Linked DNA regions of Saccharomyces cerevisiae S288C. The protein of the gene in region 2 purifies or fractionates together with the protein of the main gene of each other region. This does not show direct contact. Each region holds a gene or a part of one and is shown on either strand. Other genes may lie near its edges.

What was found.
Region 1: the proteins of DLD2 (region 2) and AIM45 purify together in Saccharomyces cerevisiae (affinity purification with mass spectrometry, with the first as the bait; 2 studies listed by BioGRID). This does not show direct contact.

Annotation. Positions count from the first base shown.
Region 1 is NC_001148.4:561,681-568,596, forward strand, and holds AIM45 (Aim45p), read right to left. Parts: upstream 3,362-6,916; coding exon 2,327-3,361; downstream 1-2,326. Other genes in the region: YPR003C (uncharacterized protein), read right to left, coding at 1-2,088; HAL1 (Hal1p), read right to left, coding at 4,107-4,991; methylisocitrate lyase ICL2, read right to left, coding at 5,589-6,916. UniProt on the Saccharomyces cerevisiae protein: The electron transfer flavoprotein serves as a specific electron acceptor for several dehydrogenases, including five acyl-CoA dehydrogenases, glutaryl-CoA and sarcosine dehydrogenase.
Region 2 is NC_001136.10:136,100-143,719, reverse strand, and holds DLD2 (D-lactate dehydrogenase), read right to left. Parts: upstream 4,199-7,620; coding exon 2,606-4,198; downstream 1-2,605. Other genes in the region: GID12 (Gid12p), read right to left, coding at 1-1,623; YDL177C (uncharacterized protein), read left to right, coding at 1,999-2,511; PCL9 (Pcl9p), read right to left, coding at 4,515-5,429; AIT1 (Ait1p), read right to left, coding at 6,181-7,620.

The DNA.
Region 1 (6,916 bases), on a different chromosome or scaffold from region 2:
GTTGTTATTTGCTTGCGCTCTTTCCACACTAGCAGCTACACCTGCTTTGAATAATCGCCTTCTTACTTTGTCATTTATAGATACATTGACAAGGTAAATAAAGACATTGCGCCTCTTGTAACTAGTGATAATTTCCTCCAGCACTTGGGCGGCTGAAGAATCTATTGAGGTCATCCCACCTAAATCGAAAATGACATATTTTATGGAATCCTTCGAGCGAAGTGATTTCCTTCCAGGATGTATCTTAGACGAACCGTACCTCTCTATTCTGTCAAGTCTCTGTTTTAAATCTTCGCTGTTTGTAAATGTGAGAGGCTCAGGTATTCTAACAATCATGCATCCCTCGATTTCTTCTGTGCCCTCAACATCCAGAGAGTTCCTTTTCATGTTCATCATGTAGTCGTCAAGATTCGTAAAGTTCGACGTTCCCGCTACCCTAGCCAGAATTTGGATTCTTGACTTTGCTGAATGCTTTATAATATTTATAATTGAATAGACACATCCGATGCATATTCCTGCTTCGATTGAGTAAAATATTGTAGTGCAGAAGGTAACAGCAAAAACAAATAGTTCACTAAAGCCACCACATCGCAAATGGAACTTTATGTCGCCTGGCACTTCCTCTAATAAACTAATTCCGATGATGGTTGTTATGACGGATAAAACACAATTAGGAATATAATGTACGAATTGAAGAAGTAAATTCATTGTGATTAGGGTGATGACACCCATAAACACTCCCGACATTACGCTTTGTGCTCCTGATAGGGCGTTGATCTTGGATCTTCCATATCCGCCGAATGCGGGAAGAGCACCGAATAATGAGATGACAATATTCATGAATCCTAAAGCTACTAGTTCTCTATTAGAGGAAACGGTAAGATTGTAAGTTGTTCCAAGAGATTTCGACGCGGTCGTAGATTCAAAAAAACCCAACATTGCCACTATTAGAGATGCACTAAAAAGATCTGGTATTAGCTTACGTCTAGGACGAGTTAAAGGGTTTTTCAATTCATCAAAATTGTCCATGCTAAAGTCGCCAATGATAGAAATACCATATCTGTGTTTTAAATTAAATTTCATGGAAATAAGAATAGTAACAATTACCACCAATAATATATCTGGAAAAAATATTGCGCTCTTGTGATATTTCATTAATTTCCTCTTTAGTAGACGCGTTAAAAAGAGGACAATCAAGCAACATCCGCTGAATATTGCCGTTGGTATATGGTATTGTGCTGGTGCATAATCAATGAGGAAAAGTATTTTCTCGAAAGGGGTATGGTAGTGTTGAGGCAAGCTTACTAAAAATTTGTCTAGCTTTAATTCAGAAATCAAAGAGTTGATTATCATAACCAGTCCTACTGAACTTATGAAACCTCGTAGAAGTGCCTTGCTAAGAACATTTCCAAGGAAACCAAATCTGGAAATACCAGAAAAAAGTAGGATAGTGCCACTAACAAATGTTATTACTGTTGAAATATCAATTAGAGAAACATTTTCTTTATGTAGTGTTATAGATTCGACTGCTTGTCCCACGACCAAGGAAATTGCACTTTCGGGCCCAACTATCATCTGAGGAACAGAACCTAAAATACCATAGACAAATGGGCTAATAGCCAAAGAATATAGTCCGCATAAAGGTGGGACATGTGCAATTGAAGTTGTGTACGATAGCGCAAGTGGTATCTGAAATGACGCTACTGAGATACCTGCGATTACGTCGCCCCACAGTTTATTGAAAGTGTACTCAGGAAGCCATGAAAAGCAGGGCAGGTAATAAGGTAAAGTTTCAAACACTGTATTCTCATCAACGCTATCATTATTGTTCGTATTACTTGTATTACTTGTATTATTTGTATTATTTGTATTATTGGTGCATCCTGATCTTGAGTTGTTGGGTGGGGGTACCCCAGTAGTTGAATTAGATGCTGCAATATAGGTCCTGCCTCGATTGGATGAATCCTTATCATAATCAAAATTGTCCGAGAAAGTGTCACGCTGGTCGACTGATCTTTTGAATCTTGGTGGAGCGGTAGAGGAATATGACATCCTTCCACGCCCCAATAACGAATTATTTGATGTCATCCTATAATTGTTTCCGTAAGTTCTTGGAAATCACTAGGAAGTTTGTGGAGTTATTGTTCTCCTCATATTCTCCCATCTGGAAGAACTCTATTATTCCTTTGCCATTTCTCGTAGTCTTTTATATTTAGTCCGCTTTACACCGAAAAGGTCATTTTTAAAAAGGCAAGAGAACTAGGAAAAGTAAAACGTGCCCCCTTCAAAGCGAAGAGATGAATATATTTAGAAGTTAAGAATTTATTTATTTATATTTACCAAGTTTTTCAGTTAGTTCAGGGACTATTTTGTAAAGATCCCCTTGCAACCCATAGTCAGCGACATTAAATATAGGGGCATCAGGATCATTGTTAATGGCAACGATAACTTTCGAATCCTTCATTCCCGCTAAATGCTGAACTGCACCAGAAACGCCAATGGCTATATACAAATTTGGTGCGACTACCTTACCAGTCTGACCGATTTGTAGAGAATTATCACATAGTCCATTATCAACAGAAGCTCTTGTGGCACCTATAGCAGCGTGCAAAACATCTGCTAGCGGCGATAATAGCTTCTCAAATGTCTCCTTATCCTTGAGTGCCCTTCCACCAGTTACCACGTTCTGTGCAGAAGTAAGTTCAGGCCTTTCACTCTTGGTAAGAATAGTTTTAACCCAGGTAACATTTAAGTCACAAGGAGGAATATCAGTTCTCTTCTCAATGGTAACAGAATCCATACTACCCTCTGCAATTGGTGGAAAAGCTGATGCCCTAATAATCAACAGTTTTTTTTCTGCCTGGCATTCTATTGTAGAAATAATGTTACCTGCATAAATTGGCCTTATAAAGGTCTTAGGATCTTTGATTACAGTAACCTCACAAACAGGTTGGACGTCCAAGAGCGCACCCACCCGAGGTAAAACACTTTTTCCAACAGAGGAGTTTGAGACAACAAAATGTGAATAGTCGCCGCCTTTTAATAGTTTCACTAATAACGGAGTTAGTTGTTCGGGAAGACAGGTATCTAATTTTGAATCTTCAAATATGACAAGCTTTTCTAAATTGCTGCATGAATATGAAGATTTTAGCGCCTCAGCAGTTTTTTCAGCTTTGCTACCTGTGATTACAGCTGTGATAGGGTTAGACAACTTTTGTGCAGCAGCCAATAAACTCAATGATGACCTTGAAACAGAGCCATCTTTTGAGCTTTCAATGAAAGCTAAAGTGGAGGCGTAATTTTTCTGGAGGAACTTTGCCTTGCTAGCTCTAGGCAAGACAGCAGCCAATGATTTAAACATAGAAATTAACAATTAGCTGCTTTACCGTTAATGGTAGTAAATTATATCACTAGATTTTGTTTGTTGATTATTTTAATTGTTTTTAATTTTTAGTTAGTAGATTTTCGTTCGAGGCCCTAAAAATGTACCGAAAAGTCATAATAAACGGGCGGAGTCACATCGTAAGAGTAACATATACAATATGCGAGCAGACTTTGTCCATTAAGCCAAGTAACAACAAAAGAACCAAAAAAAGGAAAGTATCTCGTCTCTGTTGAGTAATTCTTATATCTTGCAAGATTTAATTCTCACTACTAATACGGAACTCAATCAAAGTGGCTTAATCCCAAGACATGCATTGAATACGGTATCATTGGCTGTTGACAGTTTAAGAAAAGTAGTTGTCACGTTCCTGAGGTTACTGGGGACAAGGGAAAGTAGATACTCGTCTTACGAAATTGGATATAGTTACTCTCTAATGCTCAATCCATGTAAAGCATGAATCATCTCAACAGAAAAATCTGGGAGAGCATATTTGCAACAAAAGAATCCAAATATCAGTATATAATTATATAAGTGAGCTAAGAAGTGAACAAAAGAAAAGGAAGAGGGGAAAAATTTTGGCTGGACTTGTAGAACGATAGAACGAAAGAGTCCAAGGGGGAAGTAATAAAGTTATTGAACGAAACAACAAAAATTCGATGGAGATATTAACAAATGCATAGCAGCGCAGCTAACCGACCCGAAGCTAGTACCAACGAATTTTTCAACTATTCTGTGTTGATTGTCTCCTTTGCAACACCGAGCTCTTCAGTATTCTCAGCTGAAAGTTATTATTGAAATCACGTTGGGGACTTTCATGATCTAGTGGTCTTGGTGAGTAGCATTTAATATTTTGACCATTGAAAGGGCATCTCTCAATTGGAGAAAGGCCACTCTTAGGGATAGGCGTTTTAACAATCTGTTTATGGGATGAATGATATATTTTTGAGGATGGATTCACGATACTGATATGTTTCCCGTCCGCATTATTCGGATATGTAGTGCCTTCTTTCGATAAAATAGATGCCAATCCTGGCGTATGCTTTGTTTCGATGACGGAGCTTACCAATTTTTCACTTCGTATTTTCGATGAGTTCTTATTTTTACATTTGACGTTCAATATTCCGACATACGTCTCTCTTTCTGAAATGTTGGAACTCTGTGGCCTTGGATTTGGTGTTTTTTCACCCGAAAAATTGTTGATAACTGCACTTTTCTTTGAGGTACTACTATTTATATCTTCCTGCTCTTTTGTTCCCCGCTTAAGATGTTTTGGATGGCAAGTTTCAATAAACTGCGGTTTTATTCCTGCTTCTGAAGAGGTGCCCGAGATGTGAACCTCATTTCCACCACTACCAGTATAAGTAAAGTAGTCCGTACCTTCTTTTCCAAAGTCATTTGAGGAATATACCAAAAAAACACCTTCCTTTACTTGAAAGCGATCCACGAATGGGAAAGTATCCCCTTCCGAAGTCACATCTGAGGGAACAAATTTTAAAACATATGAGATGTTGTTTTCATCCACGGCATCATAAAATTTACAGCAATTATTCTCATACATCAAGTTTTTGAGAGTGTAGTCATGCAATCCTAAATCTTTGAAATGCATCTGATCTATTTGTTTCTGTATTTCTCTTTTCTTGAGTTATATAAACGGAATGATTAGTAGTTTGGCAGAATTTATAGCAAGTATTAAATAGTTGAATACCTCAATATTCTCCATAATAAACGCCATATCGTACATAAAGGCTAAAACAAGAATGCCTGATACCGTTCTGCTTTTTGTTTTATCTTTCCCTATATTTTCTTTCCCTTTTGATGCTTTACGTAATTTTTCCCGGCATATGTGAGCTTCCTAATAGACTCTATTTTTATTTTTCCCTTTCAAAGTGCGAGAGAAATACACACAACCAGCCTACGCTTATTTTCACCCATACCGTCATACGCCATATGATATATAATGTGAAACAAACGCGGGGAAGAGCGCGACACGACAGCTTAGCAGGGGCATTCCACGCAACACCTGAAACTTTAAGTAAAACTGTTTCTGCGAGGATATCTTGGCAAAACAAACACTAACTTTCGAACTAAATATAGTGATCGTGGTCATAAATTAATAAAAAGAGGATAAATAGAGATAAAAGAGATATGTGACTAAGTTGCTGGCAATATGTATTATTTATACTTTTATCTTCTTGAAGCGTATTCAAAATTGCGTTTCGGTAAAGCTCTCACCAGATGTACTTAAAGTTTGGGATGAAGCACCGTTTTGGACAACTTTCATTAAGGAATCAACATATTCTGCACCAGACCATAGCTGGTGTGTCATGATATCACAATTAGTCTCCTTTTCCCGTTTTTGCACTTTTTCGACGTATGCTTTCATTCCGTCACTTTGGAAGCTATTGGCTAATTCCCAGAATGATACTCCATCTGAATGCAGACCGGCAAGGGAAACCAGTTGCAACGTGAAGCCTTCTTTTGCCAAGTCCCATACGAAGGATTTTAATGCCTTATCATCAAAGCCGTGAGCGCTCCAATTGAAACTAGGAGATAAGTTATATACTAGCTTGGTAGCTGGAAGTTGTTTATGAATTTTTCTTGAAAATGAGCGTGCCTGCTCCAGGTCAGGAGTTTTCGTTTCCAGCCAAATCATATCAGAATATGGGGCAAACACCAAAGATCTTCTAATAGCTGCTTCAATACAACCGTTAAACATGTAATATCCCTCTTTGGTCCTCGGAGCATCCCAGTCAAATATAATTTTCTTTAGTGGTGTCACTTCTTGAGCTAAAAGTTTCATTTCTCTTAAGCTTAGGTATGCTCTACCCAGCTTGTTTACCATAAGGTCTTCCTTCTTTTCTTTATAGCTTTCAAACTCGCTTGCCGTAAACTGCTTTTCTAAGGCCTCTTCAAATGTAAACAGCTCATTTTCATGGTACCATTCTTTTTCCATGTCAGCAATGGCGGAGTTGGGAATTTTTTTGTCCTCCATCTCAATCAATTTTTCGCTCCAAGGCACCACGTTATCTCTTATTATACCCCTAATGAATTCGTGGTCTCTCGGATCACTGCTTGAACTCAACAGCTTACCATTACAGGAATCTGTTCTTGCAATAACCAAATTTTCTGTCCCCATGATATCCCATTGAAACCTGGTGGAAATCAATCTCATAAGATGTGTTGCTGTGGGCACCAAAACAGCCCCACTTAGATGGCCACACCTTTTGCCTCCCACCATCTGATCTTCAAGATGAATACCAGCAGCCCCTTTCTCCGCAAACAACTTAGCAACTTTCATTACAGTCGTTGGGCCACCGTGACCCATGTCTGCGTCCGCGATAATTGGTTTTAAATAATCAACAGGAGTAGAACCTTTGATGGAGGCCTCCAAGAAAGCCTTTCGATCGTGCAATTGCTGCGCCTTGAATATTCTCTCCACTTGATTCGGCACAGTATCGTATGGATAATCGCCAAAATCCGGCGATACTTCATTTGTAGATCCAACTAATGTGGAAGAACAAGCCCAACCAG
Region 2 (7,620 bases):
ATCTATCACTTGGCCATCCACCTTCATTTGACTTTCTGCCCACTCTTCTTCATTAGTTCCATTTTCAGAGCCATTTTTGTTCGATAATGAATCGATTTTAATTATTGGTTCATCATAGTACCGAGGTCGGAATGCACTCAACGTGACGAAATGATCGATGCACACAATGTCCATCTTTTTGTAATTATCTGTTAGAAAAGAAGTCATTGTTTCATCACTTTCATCTGTAGTGTTATCATCTTCATTCACCCCATCATTTCCATTTCTATGAGAAATCTTTTCAACAATTTCAAAATCTACCATAAATGTATTCCTTCTTAATCCTCGGATAAAAGAATCTAATTCCCACTTCGTTGAACAGGGTACATCCATTCTTTCTCTAAAAGCGTCTCTAGTTAAGGCTTGAAAAGATTCTCTCCTTCTTCGACTCAGCGGTCTCGGTTCGCTGCTAGCAGTACTGAATGAAGAATTTCGGCGACTACTTCCCAGCATATCTTGAGTGTGGAATAACTCATATATGTCATCTTTAGCGTGACCTTGACGCTGTTTCCAGACGATTCCTGAATCCAGCATTCCTGTTCCAGAATATTTTACAATATCATCCCAAATGGTTGAATTTATAATATCCGTATCGAATGTAAACTTGTTACTAATCCAGCTGAACAAAGAACCAAATCCATTTTGTTGCGCTACGTTGTCCCACGAAAGTATCTCACCGCATGTATCTCCCTGTATACTGTTCTTTAGGCTGATAAAGGTGCTTAAAAATGTAACATAAGTCAATGGTAAAATTATTTTCCTTATAAATAGTGGTGATCGTGGCGATACTGTCATGAAACAAAACCGGTCTAATGGATTTATATGGAATGTGGAAATACCTCGTTCTATATGTAAATACATCGAAGGCCTATATATGGGCAGGCCTTGATACATATTGCAAAACGAAGATACCACGGGTGACGATCTTAAATGGGATGGTTCTATAGGCAAAAGGAAGTAGCAGATATGCTTAGAGCATGACCTTCCAGTGTACCGCGTACTACCTTCAAATAATTTTTCTTCTTCTGAAGAATGTGTTGTATTATTATCGTGATGTACTTTGAAAAAGCAATCTGGAAACATGGGGTTGTACATGTTCTTATACTGAATGTAATCAGTGGGAAGGTTCATTACAAAGACATATATTCGACCGGAGCACATACAACAATATAATAAACCTTGACTATATTCAAGACCAGCGATCATATAGTCACTAAAAAAATTGGATTCGAAATCTTCCGGAGTACATCTAAGGATATAAGAGGGCGCTAATCGCAGGCCATTTTTTATCTTGTATTGATAGTTGCTTATGATTTCAATGAATCCGTTGGATTTAGCCAGCACCATGTAATCACATGAGTCCAAAATATGCGTTGCGTCTGGAGATATTGACGTGTCTCTACCATTAGGCCTTAAATAACAAAACGCTTGTATATTTGCATTCACATCTACTTTTGTACAACCTCTTTCTGATGGGACCAGTGCTAATCGATCGTTTTTAAATTCAAATAACCTATAACCAGACGGTTTACCCTTAGTATTGCAGGGAGTAGAAACAGCAAATTGAATCCTGCCAGTAGCCATCGATAACAAAATGTTCAGATTATGTGGAAAGACGCTTTCTGCGTGTATTTAACAACTCAAAGTAAAACCTATCTTAACCTGGTTTTGTTCTATTAGATGCCATTCAACTATGGGGAAGGTATATTTGGATGTTTGTTAGCAATTTTCAGGAAGGCAAGTACTTAATACCGATCAGCTTACTATTGTTTTTGACCTTAGAGCTCTTTTCAACAAAGCTTCGCATTGTGAAAAGCAGACCCAAAACGGCAACTGAGAAAATACGGCACTGTGGAAATAAGTCATGCATCAATCATCAGCTGTAAAAAACCTTTAGAAAAGACATTATACAGATTCTTAGATAGGTATTGATGTTTGGTATTACTATTTTTTGGAGAAATGAGTAAGAATGTTGGTAAGCTAGTGAAAATATGGAATGAATCAGAAGTTTTAGTTGATAGAAAATCGAAATTTCAAGCAAGATGTTGCCCATTACAAAATCAAAAGGATATACCCTCCATACTCCAAGAACTAACGCAAAACAACAAAAGCGTCTCCAAGGCATCCCACATGCACATGTATGCCTGGAGAACGGCCGAGGTATCAAATAATTTGCACTTACAACAAGAGCAGAAAAAGAAGGGCAATAAAGCAAATAAGAGTAATAATAGTCATGTTAACAAGTCAAGGAACATAACGGTGCAGCCAAAGAACATTGAGCAAGGATGTGCTGACTGTGGCGAAGCTGGTGCTGGACAGCGTTTATTGACCTTACTTGAAAGAGCAAACATATTCAACGTCTTGGTAATAGTGACCAGATGGTATGGTGGCACGCCTTTGGGCTCATCAAGATTCAGACACATTTCAACATGTGCAGTGGAAACCTTAAAGAAGGGTGGATTTCTTCCTTAAATATCACCCTTACCATATAATATACACAATTGTAGAATATAATATTGATAAATATATACATATGTAGATAACTATAAAACTTGGCATTTTATTTTCAAATGTATTTGTAAGGGTTTAAAATTCCATTAGGATCATAATGAACCTTCAAATCCTTCATCATCTTGACCTCTTCCGGGCTCTTAGAATAGCCAATGTAATTTTTCTTTTGGAAACCTAGCCCATGTTCGGCACTAACGGAACCATGTTTTGAGGAAACAAACTCGTAGACAAATGGTTCCAAAGTCTTTTCAATGTTCTTGTTGTACTCTCTAACTGCAACATTTAAGTGTAGATTACCATCACCCACGTGACCGTATCCAATGGCGCCCACCACTGGTTTGGGCGAATCACCCACTAATTCAGCTTCAGAAAGTCTTGCATTAGTGGCTTCAACCAAAGAATATAGGTCCTTTAGTGGTAAAGAAACATCGTATTTGTAAACACCACCATTAGCTTGACTTGCCTCTGGAATCATTTCTCTCCACTTCCACAAGTTTTGGAGTTCGGTTTCATCTTGTGCCACTACACCATCCGTTACTATGCCCTCTTCCATGACGTTTTCTAAAAATGTTTCAAGTTTGGAATCATCGTGATCTTTGTTTGACCCTGACGTTTCGATAAGAATATAAAATGGATGCTCATCCTCCAAAGGGAAGGCAGCATCCTTCAATTGGCTCTTGGCCAATACTTGAGATTTAGCATCCATAAATTCAAAAGCGGATAAAATCTCAGATAATTCTTGCCTGGCTCTGACGAAGACTTTTTGAACGTCTTCAAAACTTTCAACAGACAAGTAAGATACATTAAACGCTTTTGGCTTAGGAACAGTCAAGATTGAAACACCAGTGATGATACCGATAGTACCTTCTGAGCCAATGAACAGCTGTTTCAGATCATAACCGGTGTTGTCTTTTCTCATGGAATGCATGCTATTAACAATTTGACCATTGGGCATTACCACCTCTAAGCCTAAAACGCTTCCATGTAGTGAGCCATAACGCAATAACCTTAGTCCTCCAGCGTTGGTTGCAACCACGCCACCAACATGGCAGGAACCTTTAGCTCCCAGATCCAACGGAAACATATAATTTTGTTCCATTACGTAATTGTTAGCATTTTCCAAGATTACACCAGCATCACACTTCAAGATACCTGATACAGGGTCAAAATCTCTTATTTTGTTTAAATTTGCTAAAGATAGAATTAATTCATCAAAAATGGGCACAGAACCACCTACCAACCCCGTGTTACCGCCTTGTGGGACAACGGCAATTTTTTCATCATTACAATAATTTAAGATTAAAGAAACTTTTTCCACTGACTTAGGTCTCAATACTAACTTGGACTGTCCTTTGTACTTTCTCATCCAATCTTCATTATAAAATGAAAGATCCTCTGATTCGCTGGCTCTTAATATTTCTTGTTCCGATAAAATAGATTTAAAATAATTTAGATCATCGGACGTTAATTTTTTGAATCTAGGGTCTCGATGCACGTCTGGATAGTTTTCGCTAGTCAGTCTGGTTTGTATCTTGGTCGAATAATAGTTAACTCTTCTATAGTATCCTAAAAGAGCTGATGATTTCATATATCTGCCAGCAAATTTGAAATTGCTGCCAGTACTTCTCACCAAAATGTTTCTTAGCATCTTGTTATATGCCACTTGTAGTGCTGGATTAATGTCTGTAAAATAAAGAGAAGAAGTTGTCAATGCATTTATTACCACTTTTTCAGAGTCAGATAGATTTTGAATTATATAACCTGTCAAAATGAAAAAAACTCGGCCGATATTCCTCGAGAAACAAGACGAATGCCAAGAGTATTCATTATTAGATATTTGTTTATGTAGTATGGTGTTTTTTTAGTAGCCTAGAAACGATGGTTATTCATATTGTACAAAGTTAAGACAACTAAAGAACGGAAAAGAATATTTATAGAGCTTGTAAAAGGCGAGTAACTTAGAATTATTGCTTGAAAAACGATGACCAGCCCCTCCTTGTAAAATTTAACCGTTGGTGAATTGTGGGCTTATGCGACATTACTGGTGAACTTCCCATTGTTACATCAATATGGTTTACTGAGTGTATGTTTTCCTCTGCCCTGAAATTATTACAGATATCGTTATTATTCCTTAACGGCACATGATTTTTTTTGTTGAAGTTGTCAGATTCCACCAACGGTAGGGACGGTTGGTATTTTGCCAGTAGAGAAGACCTTGAGTCTGTTGTCGAAACTGTTGCCATGGATGTCAGTGAAGGAACCGATATAGCAGAAGAAGTTCTAGAATGCGAAACCGGTCTTCTATGATTTATATATTCTTTCAGTTGGCCGGGACTTGGTGCATTGAACAACAGCATTTCTTGTCTCCTTTGTAAAAATAGTTGTTCCTTGATAGGCCCGAGGAAGTAAGAAAGAGAATCAATCAAATCCGGTGTAGTTATCCTCACATCCCAATTTAAATATTCTAATAGTTCTCGTTCGATGGTATTCACCTCACGTATTCTGAGTAAACCTTCTGTGTACGTGGTCCAGTGTTTGTTCCAGGGAGAAGAATCGTTCAGAGTTTTGGCAGCTAATATCAAGCATCCGAGAAATATCCGATGTCTTGTGGTGTTAATACCGTACACATTTTTTGGTATTACGCTTTTCAGTTTGTTTAAATAAACTGATGTGGCCATTAAAGTTGGTGTTTGAACATTTGACTGAATTACCACGTTTTTAATGAAGATAGATAAGTCTGGTGGGCGACATCCTTGGATTGGATTATTATTTTCCCTGATTTTAATTATGGAAGCAGTAGAAGTGGCTAAGAACTGAATCATTTCTTGCGAAACAGGTTTTTTGTTGAATTGCAAAAGAGCATCGTAGTCAGAAATCATCTCTTTGTGCGTATTTCTTCAGAATTAATAATGCTGTTACCGAAACAAGTTTTCTTGTCCTTTCTTTGCGTATATCCACTTAAATATATGTTATTAGAGATCTATGAATGTCGATGCACTCTTCTACTGACCGCAAGCTGCCCAAATGCTTAAATACAGAAGCAAAGAGACACATATTTACCACGTTGCATGAATGTCCAAACTCACTGCACCGTTAAACAGAATTATAATAAGCAAGGCTTGACTACTTGTCCCTTGTAAGATTATCTACTTGAGCTGGTTTTTTTTTAGTGCAGCAATAAAAAAAAAAATTAGTGACGCTGGTTTCCGCGCAGCGCTAATTTAAGAATTTTCAATATTGCCAACAAATTTTATCTTGGCAGTTATGAATGGAGGCCAAATTGTAGCATACAGTGTGAGCTCCATATTGCCAACAAATTTTATCTTGGCAGTTATGAATGGAGGCCAAATTGTAGCATACAGTGTGAGCTCCATATTGAATGATGCATGATCTATTTTCTTTTGGACAAATTTCTACCTTGCATAACCTTTGATTGATGAACCACTGATGTAGTTAAACTTTTAAAGTAGGGTTAAAATGTCCCTTTAATATATTTTTATAATTACTTACAGATTGTTGTTCTTATGTAAATTTTATTATTAAGCTCCACCTCCCCTAAAGTAAAATGGATAACATAAAGATTTTTCAAGATATGAACACCCTAATATGTGCACGGTCGTTACTTATATGCTATATATAAACTGTTGAAAGTATTCCCGTTACAAAAACAAGAAGACTCCAAGAAACCATTACTCCAAGTACAAAAGAATCATTTCTTGCCAAAGCCCTCCAATTTTTGACTAGCTTCTTGCAGAATCTTAGTAAAGCGGAGTCGTTGGTCATATCATCATCATCCCCATTTAAACTACCATAATATAACGTCGTATTACCTAACAACTGGCCTGAATTCATCCCGAAGTGACCCGGGCTGCTATTTATTACATCAGGACTATCCATCGAAATGTAATTAGCACTCAGTGGATGTTGGTACTCTTGATTTGTAGCTACTCTCTTACTGATAGTATTTTCGTCGTCGTCCTCAAACTCCCCCTGTGAATTATTAAACCAATCGTCTAGCTCTCTTCTTAAATATATCGAAGTGTTGATGAGGAAGTTTAGAGATATGAAAGGAATTATTACGCATAAGATGAAATTTGAAATGGTTCTTGAGCCGAAGTAGTTCACCACGGGAGTAAATAATCCTTCATGGCCGCGAACATAGACGAAATACATCGACAGAATCAATGATTCCCCAATTGTCAACATGATATTACTACCAACTACCAATATCATTAACAATAAACCGGTGACCAACTGGTATGCCGTGCTAAATGCAATAAATCTCTTTATCGGTGTGAAGCTTTTAGTAGTATTTTGTGTATTTTCATTAGGAACTGCCCATGTATAACCAAAAGATTTCTTCAAAATGGGCTGTTCTTCGTCTATGGGGAAACTCAAATCACCCGTATCTAGAGTTGTCAACTTTAATGAATTGTCGATGGGGTTCATCATGATAATTGTATCGTCCTGCGAATTATCTGGTACATGCAGCTGCTTCTTATTTTCATGAGGTTGCTGTCGTATGCTGCCATAAGTTGATGACGATGAACGTAGAGGTTTGATTGGATGGTACTCAGACGAGTATACGTTATTCGATATGGAAGATGAGTCATTTCTTACTTCAATACATTTGGACAACGTAATATCACTTCTGTCTACGACGTTGGGGCGATATTCTGTACTACAACCGCAGTCATCGTTATGGCTCATATCATTATTGTTACAGTAAGTGTTGGCGCTTTCCTGGTGTGTGAAGCCACTATTAATGTTTGGATCGGCGATTTCTTGGTAGTTAAACAAATTCCCTATTATGCATATGGTGAATTCACCCAGGGCCCATGATATACCAAAGATATAGGCTTGTCTTGGAATGATGTGCCAAGAACATTCCTTATGCTTGATCGTACCGCCTTCGTGATCTTGCACCTGAGGGTACGCTAAACCAATCAGTATCAAAAGCATAAAGACGTCGTTGATAGGAAAATCCACTATCAGGTTCAATATTAAAAACCTTTGATTTATATTGAATAGAAAGGTCTTCAGGAAATAATAAAGAAATGGTGAAAAAAG